Nothobranchius furzeri: one gene and its partners. The protein of the gene in region 3 interacts with the protein of the main gene of each other region in a pairwise test. Links are inferred from orthologs where the notes say so. Each region holds a gene or a part of one and is shown on either strand. Other genes may lie near its edges.

Region 1 (4,332 bases), on a different chromosome or scaffold from region 3:
CATCGTACAGGGATGAGTCTGAGTTTTAAGGTCTGTAATGAATCCCCGGGGCTCCATGACTGTATCTGGAACAGAAAGGCATTGTGAGGAGGTGTGCATGTTAATTACACCACCATGGACCAACTATCATGGGTTAGGATTTACAGACTTTACAAGACAAGATTTACAATTGCAGCCATGAGGTGGGAGGTTTAGTGTTTGGTGGCAGGAAGGTCTCATCTTAGAGGACTCCAAAGCACTTTACAATACAGTGCAGCATAGACACATTCACACAGGTGTCTTGGGGCGCACTGACAGACTGCAGCATTATCATTGCTGTCCATCCGTCCCACCACCACCAGCAGGCAAGAAGGTGACTTGTCTTGCTCTGACTGACACAAATGGAGTCTGGGTTAAAACCAGCAACCTACCAGTTACAGGGTAAACTCCTAAACCTCTGAGCCCAGTCACCCCGTGGATGATGTGGCCCTGTGTGAAGTGGAATAAGGATCAGCACCTCCAAATCCAAGACCAGAAAACTCCAGGTCAAGGGAGAAGGCCTGATTCAAGTGCAAAGTTAAAATCTGGGGTTATTGTTCATGAGGGAAGTAACGGGTGATTGAGAGGCGGATCCATCAGCATTGGATAAACATGTCTGTTGTGGTGGTAAGGGAGAAAGAAGATTGTGAAAACAAGCAGCCAAGTTTCCCCAGCCAACACACAGGTGGGCCTTATATGGAATATATGTGAGCAAGCTGTATGGGTCCCACCAGGGTTTGCCCGCAGTATCCACAGTGGCCCCACAGGGGTTTACCCACAAAGATTCGAAACCCTCTGAAAACCCATGTAGGGCCTGTTAAAATCTACGTGGGTAAAGATCTTTCTGGGCAAACCCCTGTGGGGCCACCATGGAAACCGCGGACAAACCATGGTGGGACCCATACAGCTCGCTCACATATGTCCCAAATGGGGCCCACCTATTTGTACTGGCTAGACTCAGCCTGAGGTTGTGGAGTGGGGCACCTGGGAGGGAATCCAAGTGGAACGCCTGCGTCTCTACATCAACAGGAGCCAGCTGAGATGGTTCGGGCATTTGGTCAGGCCACGGGAGAAGTATTTTGGGTGTGTCCTGCTGGCGGGAGGAGGCCCCCAGGCAGGGGTGAATTTAGGACTGAAGAAGATCCGGGACTTAACGCACGCGCGCGCGCACACACACACACGTAACACGCACTAGTCTTTTCATAAAACATTCAGGGCTTGAGCCCAAGTAGCCAGGCCAAACGCAGGTCCTGCTCCCAGGTCAACCCATAAGGGGATTCTGGATCTAGTCTGGGCCACTCTGGGGCAGCTTGTGGAAGTGGCTGAGGAGGAGAGGAGGGTCTGGGCTTCCCTGCTGCTGCCTCTGCAACCCGAGAACACACTTAGATGATTTGTAGTGTCGTTTCATATTATAAACCGTCTTTCTGAGTTTAACATACGCAAACTACATCTCCCATCCTGCTCTTCGGGTGCGCCATGACGCAACAGGACATCAACAGCTCACGTGTGGCCTAAACGGCGCCGCTGTTGCTGCCGAGTGCTAGTAACATCTGCTTCATGAGGGGCTGCTTTCACATCCAAAAGACCTATTTTCTAGTAGTTTTACCCACTTTTACTTCCCACCGCTGCTCCTGAGCCAACATGCCGCCGAAGAAACCGCCCCAGCCCGCGGGGAATAAAAAAACTCAGGAGAAGAAAAAGGAAAAGATCATTGAGGTAAAAAAATACACGAGTTAGCCTGTCGGCGTTTGGTTTCAGCTCAGCGCCAAACTGAAGCCACCAAACGCGTAAAGTCCTCCAGACCTTTGGTTATGGTTGTGTGTAAACTATGATTATGCAACTTCTAACTGTGGCGTTCTCTGCTGTTATTAGCTAAAACTTATGAAGCTGACAGATTCGTGTAGCATAGATGCTAATAGCAGGGCCTACAAGTTGTCCGGCGTAGCTTTTTATCTTTCAGTCATGTTCTAGTAATTATTTTATGACCTGAAAATCATCTTTATGCATTAAATGGCTCAGGTGGACGCTTAATGGGTCTTATCTGGTCAGGTGTTGACCAGAACAGGTAAGAATAAAGTTAGGTAGCCGTTATAACTGCTTTGTTAACGTGACCAGGCTGCTTATTTAAGTGATTTCTGAGTTCAGGCCGCAGTCAGATAAGCTGGAGAAGCTGGCTGGAGTAATGAGCACAGACAGGAGACCACGTCACTGACGTGTTGACGTTCAGATTAATAGTTGTAATGTTTCCATGTTATTCATTAAGAGACAAGTCAACACAGTCTATCCTAATTCTGATTTATTCACATGAGATAATTCAACATTTATTTTCAACAAGTTGGGAAAGATGGTCAGTTTTTCTTTAACTCATGTAAGCATCACTCCAATACGTTTGGATAAATGTAGTAGGGAAGTTTTTATATCTGACCTTGTTTCTCTGTGCTTTTAATGCTGGGAAGTGAAGTCTTTCAGTTGTCATCTTAGGAGAAAACTATTTTGCATTTGAGAAATACACTAAACTCTAGGAAAATGAGTTCAGATCACAACAAATATCTCATAAGATGTTGGTGTGACACCATGTGAACTGGTAATTGTTCCAACATGTTACTTTGTCAAAAACTATACATCCATTTTCAGCTGCTTATCTGGGGTCTGGTTGCTGGGGCAGCTAAACAGAGAGGCTCAGACTTCCTCCTCTCCAGCCACTTGGGCCAGCTCTTCCGGGGGAACCCCAAGGCCTTCCCTGGCCAGCAGGGAGACATGGTCCCTCCAGCGTGTCCTGGGTCTCTCTTTAGGTCTTCTCCCAGTAAAACCTCACCAGGGAGGCGTCTGACTAGGAGACATCCTGACCAGATGCCCAAGCCACCTCAACTGGCTCCTTTTGTTATGAAGGAGCAGTGGATCTACTCCGAGCCCCTCCCGGATTACCAAACTTCTCACCCTGTCTCTAAGGGAAAGCCCAGCCACCCTGCAGAAAACTCATTTCAGCCGCTTGCATCCATGATCATGTTCAAAGCTTGTGACCATAGGTGAGGGTTGGAACGTAGATTGACTCGGTAAATCGAGAGCTTTGCCTTCCAGCTCAGCTCTCTCTTCACCACGGCAGATCGCATCACTGCAGACGCAGCACCAATCCACCGATCAGTGTCCCGATCCATCTTTCCCTCACTCGTGAAAAAGACGCTGAGATGCTTAAACTCCTCGACTTGAGGCAGGACCTCGTTCCTGACCTGGAGAAGGCATTCTACCTTTTTCTGACTCAATCAAAAAAAAAAAAAAAATTATACAGCAACTACAACTTCTTTAAATCCAGTAACTTGCTTTAAATACAATTTGGGCAAGTGACATTTATCTTAAAACTAAAGATTACGGATGCTTTGAGGTGGATTTTAAATTTCTTTAAATTTTTTACCAAATGATTTGAACCGTTGAATTTAGAAATGGTTTTAGTTGGTTTAGTTATGTCCTGCAAACAAATGTACAGGTCCTTCTAAAAAAATTTGCATATTGTGATGAAGTTGATTGTTTTCTGTAATGGACTGATAAACATTAGACTTTCATATATATTAGATTCATTACACACAACTGAAGTAGTTCAAGCCTTTTATTAGCCACGTTTACATGCGCATATTTAATCGGATTGAATGCCCATTCAGATTGAAAATTCTGCATGTAAACATGTCAATCAGAATATTCTGATCCGATTCGGCCCGATCGGATTGAAATTTCAATCCGATTGAGAGAGGTGGTTTATTCCGTTCTTCATTCCGATTGACGTGCATGTACACAGCCATTCGGATTGTTGGGGTAAAATAATGCCCACTGCGCATGTGTGCAACAGCCAGCGGGCCTCTCCGCTGTCATTTGGACTGCCTGACTTCAAAAATGACAGCGAAATTAACGAGCGGCAGCTTTTAAATCCAACGACAAGACGTCCCGTTTCAGTAATATTTAATTCAGAACTTGCATTTTGTGGAAGTAAAATAAAAATCTGATTATTGCACAAATCATTCGACAAAGATGTTCAAATCTGTACTGGAAATACGCGGGTTTATCGTGGGGGTTGCAGCGCACGGATCCCCGTTTCTGTCAGCTTTGAACACAGCAGCTTCTGCAGCAGGTGATGGAGACACGCTTGTAAAGAACACAGGATAATCTGGGTTTTACAGACCTGATTGGAGGCTGATGTTGGGTAGAAAAACGTCCTCGGTTAAATACTCTGGACGACAGTAAAGTCCATGTTAAAAGCACGTAAACGCAGATGACCTGAGATGCGGTTCGTTAATGATGAACACAGGCTTCTAAACTTTCTGAACA
Region 2 (4,421 bases), on a different chromosome or scaffold from region 3:
TCTTTGAGATTTTCATGCAGACTGAACATGAAAATAGTCTCCTACACCTATCTCCTGCATTAGCTTCTGATAGAAAATAGGCAGTGAAAGGCTAGGACTTGAAAAAAGTCTGACAGATCTACACTGTCACTTAACATTCATGGAATCACCCACCTTGACTCATGACGGGGAAGTTGTTGGTTTAGCGTCCAGCAGAGAACATCTCAGCTTGTGGAAGCTAACTGTTAGCATAACAACTTCACCGTACAGCAGAAGCTCCTACAGGCTTGTGTAAGTTGTGGAGATAAATTATCAACTTTACAGAGCAAACAGAGTCAGTGGTAGAGTCACCCTGCTGTTATCCAATCCAGGGTGAGATGTCCAATTATCAGGAAATAAGACTCCAAAACCTGCCTTCTGAAGCTTTTTTTTAAAACAAGTTTTATTTAACCAATGAAGCTTACAGGCTTACATAAGAATCAATATTTACAGTTGAATTCTGAGCATGACATATATATATATATATTACATCAAACAACATTATTAGGAGTAAAGGAAACATTCACCAAATTGTTATAGAGCCAAATGGCTTTCTTGGAACTACATGGAATCCATAAAGGATGCAAGTTCTTTAAATAAAAACAATAAAGATCGGTTTGATATTGCCAAATTTACATTTGTGTATAAAGAATTTGGCGAAAATAATCAAATTATTGACAGTGAATTGCTGCATTTTATTCTCCAAACTAATACCATACTTGATGTCAGAAAAAGATAAGGAGCGTATAATGAAATTATTATGCGTTAACCACGAGTGAAAACTATCCCAGAAAATTTTGGTAAAGATGCATGTGAAAAATAAATGTATCTCAGTTTCTATATTAGAAGTGCAAAAGGCACAATCGTTCTCTCCAATAGCCTTCTGAAGCTCAGTTGTGATGTGAGCAACTTTAGGTCCAGGAAATGGTGCACCAGATTTAAAAAATAATGCTGTAAACAAATAGTCTTTTCAGAAACATAAATAATTATTTTTTAAATGTTTTTTTTTAATTTACAAAAGATAAAAGTAAGTGACCCAAAACATCCAGCCAAAGTCATTAAGAACTGTCTTCAGCGTGAAGAACCAGAAGTCCTGGATGGTCTGGCCCCCCACAGAGCCCTGATCTCAACATTACATGGAGACAGAATGATGTGAGGAAGCCTACATCCACAGAAGATCTGTAGTTAGTTCTCCAAGATGTTTGGAACAACCTACAAGCCCAGTTCCTGCGACAACGGTGTGCACGTGTAGGTAGAAGAAAGTGGTCACAATAATTACTGATTTTTCTTTTGTTCACTCATTCCTTTTTTAATTGGTTTTTGAATAAGCTATCTTGTTTTATCATTTTCTGCTTTCTATTCTTTATTATTACTACAATATACTACTTTATTTATAATACAATCACACTGCAGTGCTTCATTGTTAGATGCTAAATAGAAATGATACCGTTGATTCTGTTTTAAGCTCAGAGAGAACAATCTGGTTCCACTCTTGTCCAGCAGGTGGCAGTAACGCGCCTTACGTAGGCCACAGTTTGTCAGACCAAATGTTCGATCCTTGATATCATCGATTGATAGTGAGTGGGTCCCTCGCGGTAGCGTTTTTGTGCCTGTCATGGTTCTATTGAAGACCAGATAACCTTCAGATACTCAAAAATGACGGACTACCTTGAAGAGCAAAGAAATGAACTTGAAGCTATAGAATCCATCTATCCTGACTCGTTTACAGGTTCGATCTTCGTCACGTTTTAATTTCTAGCTTCCAGCTAGCAGGCGTCAGCTAACCGATTAGAACAGCATTTTCCCGGTGTGTTCCCAGATATGAAGGCTAGGCTGACATAGGGGTTGTCCAGTTCCTGGGACTACAGTCGGGTTTAACCTACTGAACCCAAGACCGATTCCGTTTTTACTTCTGGAGTGTGTTTGAACATGCTAGTAGCTAAAGAACATCTGGAAGTTCCATGGTGGAACACAGAGTTAAAGCATCTATGTAGCTGCAATGTTGGAACGTTTAATTGTGGAGTGAATTTCAAACTTTAGTGTTTATCTGAACCTGTTGGTATGAGTTCATAGAGATTATTTCCTCTGATGTGCTCTCAGTGCTGTCTGAAGACCCCACCAGTTTCACCATCAATGTGACGTCAGATGCTGGGGAACACGGCGAGAGTGAGTACACCTCATACTCTCCTCCCACGCCCCCTAGCCTTCTATACCTCCAACACCTTTTACATCTAGCACACTTTTCACCATCACATCAAAACTCAGCTTTTGGATCACCTCTGCCAGTGTGCTGTGGCTACGATGCAGCTCATCACCACCAGAGTGAATGGATGAATAACTGTAGTGTAAAGCACTTTGGACTCATCTGGCTCAGACTGGCACTGTACAAGTGCAGGTCATTCATCACGTGTGATTGGGAGGTTTTGTTTCAAACGCCAGTCATTGAGTTTCTGTGTAAGGTGTCATAACAAACAGCTTTCTGTTTGTTACAGCGGTGGAAGCAACGCTAAGGTTTACATATGTAGCCAAATACCCTGATGAGCCTCCGTTGTGGGAGATCTACTCCCAGGAGAACCTGGAGGACCAGGATGCGGAGGACATCCTCACCTTACTGCAGCAGCAGGTCTGTCAGTACATGTCGCCTTCACTCTCTGTAAACGTTGGGTGTCTTCAGGAATGAGCTCAGACTGTCTTGGGGTGAATGGTAACTCTGCATATGAAAGGCTCAAACTGTTTCAGGTCATTTTTAGGTGTTTTAACATCCGGTTGTTGGTCTGATTTCATGTGATTCGTGTCACTCTTCAGGCTGAGGAGAACTTGGGGATGGTGATGATTTTTACCCTGGTGACAGCTGTCCAGGAAAAACTAAATGAAATAGTGGATGCAATGAAAAACAGGCAAGAAGAGGAACGACGTCAGAAAGAGAAGGAAGCAGAGGAAGCAGAGAAGGTAATGGTGATTAGTCTTATTTTAGATTAAGCAACAGGCACTGAGGATTTTCCTGTTCGACTTAAGGCATGACCAGATTTTTCATCCATCTCCCTGGGCTCAGTGCTGCTTTGATTTTCTGTTAATGGTTTCTCCCTGTTTGGTAGGTGGCGTTCCAGGGCACAGTGGTGACCATTGAAAACTTCCTGGCATGGAAAGCCAAGTTTGAGCTGGAGATGACGGAACTTAGAAGAAAAAGACAGAAAGAGGAGGAGCAGGCTGGAAAACCCAAACTGACTGGTAAGCCTGTTGGTCCAGATTCCCAGGATGGGGCTGATCAGGAGTCTCATTGATCAAACATTGTGTAGAATACTTACTAAAACCGTACTTAAGCTCAGCAAAAAAATGTATTTATGCCAAGTAGGTTTGTGATCTATCAAACTTGGAGTACACACAGCTGCACGCAATCTCCGCTTAATAAATCAGAGACTAACGAGAAAGGTTCTCAGCTGTTTCTGAGTCACATCCCGCCCTCAACACACCCACTTACTGCCTTAAATGGTCAATGCAAAGTGCCTTGTGGATCTCATGCATATACATAAGCCGGCTGTTGCAGCGCTCCGCCAATGACGATGGCGACCGTAGATCAAGGAAGCGCTATTTCACAGAAGCAGAAATTGAGGTACTTGTAGGTGAGGTGGAGAAATGAAAGGAAGTGCTTTTGCAAAACAAATAAGAGAAAATCCACGGAGTGGCACAGCGTTGCTGAAGCCGTCAATGTTGTGAATTTTTCAGAGAGATCTGTGGTGGAGATTAAAAAAAAGTGGTCCGATTGGGACTCGATCCCCAGACTCCTGCGTGAAAGTCACGCGCTAACCAGTTAGCCAAAGGGACATCCCCTTGTCCAAGTAGCCAGGGCGCATGATCAATCAGGTCACAGTGACAAGACACTCACACCGTCACAGACGCATGACATTCTGTCTCAATCTGTCCCCCTGCTGATATTCAGCATTCCGTATTCTGCGCTTCAAGCTGTGTGTGTGTGCGGGGGGGGGGGGGGGGTCTTGTTCTGTGTGAAAACGAAGCAGTACAAGTGATAATGCTGCAGGATTTCATAATTGTATCCTTCTCAGCAGCAGCACTGCAGGTGCTCTCCATGTCCAAAATGTGCGTAAGCCAGGTCCTTAGTCAACTTAAAGTTGCGCACATTTTTCCGCTAAGTTTTCTTTTATAAATCCTAGTTTGCGTGGAAAGTTGCTTACGCAGTTTTCCGACCCCGTTTTGTGCGTAAGCAAGCTTGATAAATGAGACCCCTGCTCCTCAGAGAAGTTTTCTCACTTCAGACCTGACATGTGAGCAGTTTCACGGCTGTAGTGAGTTCTCCATTTAAAAAGGTAACACATGTAGAGTGCTTGAAACTGTAACTGAAATTGATTGTAGCACAATGGTGTTTCCACACTTGCAGCATTTAGTCA
Region 3 (4,146 bases):
CATTTTCTAAAGTGCAGCATTATGTTAAATGCACTGGGTTTTACCCTATTACATTTAAATTTCATGGTTAATCACTACATGTTAAAATCTAAGCTCAGCTCGGCAGTGACCTAAAATACATAAATATAATTTTACTTACCGAAAAAAATGAAGTGGAGACTCCTTGGACGCTCTATTAGTGCAATTAATACCACAGCAAGTCTTTTTGTCCAACAATTGCACAAAAAATATCCAAAAAAGAATGTACAAACACAGAGACTCAAAATCCTGGAACAGTTTCCAAGCCAGACCGAGGCTCTACTGAGAGCTAGCTCTATGACTTTGAACGTCAGTTGAGAGTCAGTCTCATGCCAGACTGACCAGTGAAGAGAGGGCCTCAAGTTAAGACCCTCTCCTCATTGGTCAGTCCACACAAGGTGGGTCAAAGGTTACCCTGAGCAGGTTACATGATGTCAGGCATTCAAGTATTGAGTATATTTACTGCATATTACAGTAAAATATTCTGTATGTGACCATATTATGGTGATCCTTGGGTCATGATGATGGGGCCCTTGAATATTGTTGCCCAGGGTACAACAAAGTGTTAATCTGGCCCTGCTCCTGCCACCAACAGAGCAGCTGTTTTGGGGAGTTTGCAAAGAAAATGTGAACTTATCGCTATCATAATCATTCTGTCCTGTTTTGCAAAATACTGCGTGCTTTTTGTTTCTTTTACTTACAAAACTGAAACACAACTGTGAAATTATTTATCACACTGTTGGACATACTTTATATCTCTTGGCTCTCAAGCATTGATGCAATCTTATTAAAGCAGAGTAAATAGGATAAACATGTATGCCTTACCTTGGTGTGAAATATAATAAAACTGCCCTTTTTCACCCAGGTTGCAGGTCTGTTTCTCTTCTAGAGTAATGAAAACTGCTGAAAAAAAGTCTAAATCATAATCAGCTTTGAATTCAATTTCGATATACATTTAATCAGATGATGAGAGATGTGTTCTAACTTGTAAACAACAATATTTATTATAAGCTCACATTTGACGTTTTTTATGTAATTTTATAAAAGAAAATGAAGCTGGTATGTTGCAAAATAGGACAGAATGGTTATTGTAGCGCTAAATTCATATTTTCTTTTTTAAAACTCCTCAAGACCTAGGCTGTAACCCTGTAGCGAGGAAAGACGGTTCCTCTTACATTAAATAGCCAATCGCAACAGAGCCCATCCAGCTAATCAGAGGCGAGAAAAGCGGGACGTCATACGATTCCAAATGACGTTTACGGCGAGGCTACGTAGGGAAGGTCTTCGATCTCGCGAGACTTTCCGTGAATTGGCGTAGCCGCGTTTGTGTGGTGTGTGTTACTGTACACGCTAACTAAACCTAACCACCTAAACTTTGTCATATTTGTCGGTAAACCTCTCCGGTATACATAGTTAAGGTGAAGTGGTCTTTAGAATCAACGTAACCATGAGTGTGCTTGCCAAAATAGCAGAGATAGAAAATGAGGTAAGGCGAAAGTTGACGCTTTAAACCCTTCGAGTCTGTCACGTTTAGTTCACATAGCTACTGCTAGTCGCTAACGCTATCTCATAAAAGAAGATCCATTTTAACCTATATTTGACTGGCCCCGCATCCCTGACAGTTTAAGCTGTTAAAAAAAGAAAATGTATTTCAGTGTTCAGTTTAGTTGTCACTTATAGATGAATAAAGAGATTAATGTCAGTTCACAGATGTTGGCAACGCATATGCTAAACCGGTTCTAGCTTAGATTTGAATAACTGATTAATTTAATCTGTTAATTGCTTTAATATTATCGTTATTAACTGACAGATGCGCTGAGTTGACAATATCGAAATGCACTGACGCGAAAACGGCACCGGACCAAATTTTTGTTTTTAAGCCACTCTGAGCGTACAGGCATCAAATATAATTCAGATACGTGTAATAAATGGTTGTTTGTTGGTAATCTGTTATAAAAGTACAAATTGTCTCCAGTTCTTTAGAGTGCTACAAAATATAAAAGCAGAGTTAGAATTAGGGGTAGACCAATATATATAGGCCGATATTAACGGTTTTTTATACATCAGTGTTATTTGTCTTTCAGAAAGCCAATTTAAAGTCAGGCACATCCTCAGGCAGCCCGGTGCTGTTATAGAATTTAATCTAAATGTATTTTTGCATTCACTAATAAAATCTGCATAATAAATACTCTAACTTTATATAGTTGCCTCACAGTGCACAAAGTTAACAGTTATGGGCCATTCCCATCTGTACCGGGTCGGCCCGGGCCGGGTAGCGTAGGTTGTTTACATATCTGGGTGGTCTGGTATTTTTCTGGGCCAAACAAGGCTCATTCTCAGCCCTCTTCTCAAGGGGGTCTGCTTCAGGCCGACCAGGGCCAACACACCCACTGCTGACAGCAAATTCACACCTTCCATTAGAGCAAGCCTCTGATTGGTGGGTAGAATCAGCCCACATGGGCTTAAGACAAGAATGTGTGGAATCAACCAGGCCAGGCTGGGGCCGACTGGGGCTACCCGGCCCGGGCCAACCCGGTACAGATGGGAATGGCCCATTATTCGTTAAATTTAGAGATCAAAAACTGCTTCAGAAATTTTGTGCATCAACCGTTATTAGTGACAGTTAAGCATGAAAATCAGGTGGAAAATGTCTAGATATTGGCTATTTGAAATCGGGCCATAAATATTGGCAATACATATTGGACATTGGCTGAACTTGTCTCCTACATTTCGGCAATAGAAAAACAAATATCAGTAAATAAAGATTATTACAAGAAAATCAGCTTCCTAGGAAGCAAACCTGAAGAAGTTATGCGTGGTTTAAATGTTTTGAACAATGCTACTACTGTATTATTAAATAAACTTTTTCGAATAATCTAAATAAGTTGGTGTAATGAAATAGATATCCATCTTTCCATCAAAACTAATATTTTTTCTGCAATATCTGTATGCTGTGTGTAAAGTCAGATAGAACACAGATATGTATGACCTCCTATAATTATACTGAGCTCATATTAGGCACCCATCCAGTCTTCTTAAAGTTTCCTTTTAATTTTGAGCAAGCCATGAATCAAAATTTAGACATTTCAAGTAATTAGCTTCTGTTAAAGTTCTACTTTGAAAGCAATAAAACGGTCCAGCTAAATGTTTTACTTCTTATTTCATCATGCACTCTGGTGTTACTGTAGATGGCCAGGACACAGAAGAACAAGGCCACAGCTCACCACTTGGGTCTGCTCAAAGCACGTCTAGCTAAGCTGAGGAGGGAGCTCATCACACCAAAAGGCGGGAGTGGTGGTGGACCTGGAGAAGGTAGTCTTACTATATTGTGTATTTAATTCACAAATAGCTCCAATTCAGGAATTGTTTCTGAGGTTTCTCTCCCATGAGGCATTTAAATTTATGTCTGTTTTTATCCATAATTACAGAAATTCAGGTTTTTATTCTCTCACATACAGGTTTTGATGTGGCAAAAACCGGCGATGCTCGAGTTGGTTTTGTTGGCTTTCCTTCAGTAGGAAAGTCCACCCTGCTGAGTAACCTAGCAGGTGTGTACTCTGAGGTTGCAGCATACGAGTTCACAACGCTTACAACAGTTCCTGGGGTCATTCGGTATAAAGGTGCCAAAATTCAGGTACAGGAAAATGTCTTCCAGTCCTGAGATATTAAAGTGGTGTTTCATTGGGTTGAGATTTATTTTTTCTTTATAGCTCCTGGATCTTCCAGGAATCATCGAAGGAGCCAAGGACGGCAAGGGTAGAGGCAGGCAGGTCATTGCAGGTAGAGTTTTATTAGATTTCTGCTAAAGCAAAAAGAAAGCCACTGATGTTATAATTTTGGAATTTAACTGAAATCAGAAATTAACTTTGAATAAAAGGTTTTTTTTATGAATTGCTGTCAACTAGACCTAACTTGTGTGTTTATAACCTAAAACACGATGACTTATTGTAAATGTTTTATTTATAACTGTTTCATGTTCTTAGAGGCCTTAGCAGGGTTTCTGCAACTATCTAGCTCCTAAAATAGCAAACAATTGTGCAGACATGGCAAGCTTTATTCTCTTGCATCATTCCAACTGTATCTAATAAAACAGAATGTTATCTTTCCTCTTTCTGTTTTATTCTCAGT

What was found.
Region 1: the proteins of drg1 (region 3) and zc3h15 interact in binary tests that used the Homo sapiens proteins (3 or more experiments, as listed by UniProt). The two-hybrid records come from large-scale screens. The link is inferred for Nothobranchius furzeri from reciprocal best matches to the Homo sapiens genes DRG1 and ZC3H15.
Region 2: the proteins of drg1 (region 3) and rwdd1 interact in binary tests that used the Homo sapiens proteins (3 or more experiments, as listed by UniProt). The two-hybrid records come from large-scale screens. The link is inferred for Nothobranchius furzeri from reciprocal best matches to the Homo sapiens genes DRG1 and RWDD1.

What each region holds. Positions count from the first base shown.
Region 1 is NC_091752.1:40,303,351-40,307,682, reverse strand, and holds the start of zc3h15 (zinc finger CCCH domain-containing protein 15), read left to right. Parts: upstream 1-1,527; 5' UTR 1,528-1,659; coding exon 1,660-1,734; intron 1,735-4,332. UniProt on the Homo sapiens protein: Protects DRG1 from proteolytic degradation. Stimulates DRG1 GTPase activity likely by increasing the affinity for the potassium ions.
Region 2 is NC_091745.1:58,580,625-58,585,045, forward strand, and holds the start of rwdd1 (RWD domain-containing protein 1), read left to right. Parts: upstream 1-1,554; 5' UTR 1,555-1,674; coding exon 1,675-1,747; intron 1,748-2,118; coding exon 2,119-2,184; intron 2,185-2,510; coding exon 2,511-2,641; intron 2,642-2,823; coding exon 2,824-2,967; intron 2,968-3,113; coding exon 3,114-3,246; intron 3,247-4,421. UniProt on the Homo sapiens protein: Protects DRG2 from proteolytic degradation.
Region 3 is NC_091746.1:51,122,738-51,126,883, forward strand, and holds the start of drg1 (developmentally-regulated GTP-binding protein 1), read left to right. Parts: upstream 1-1,314; 5' UTR 1,315-1,465; coding exon 1,466-1,504; intron 1,505-3,206; coding exon 3,207-3,330; intron 3,331-3,476; coding exon 3,477-3,652; intron 3,653-3,728; coding exon 3,729-3,798; intron 3,799-4,145; coding exon 4,146-4,146. UniProt on the Homo sapiens protein: Catalyzes the conversion of GTP to GDP through hydrolysis of the gamma-phosphate bond in GTP. Appears to have an intrinsic GTPase activity that is stimulated by ZC3H15/DFRP1 binding likely by increasing the affinity for the potassium ions.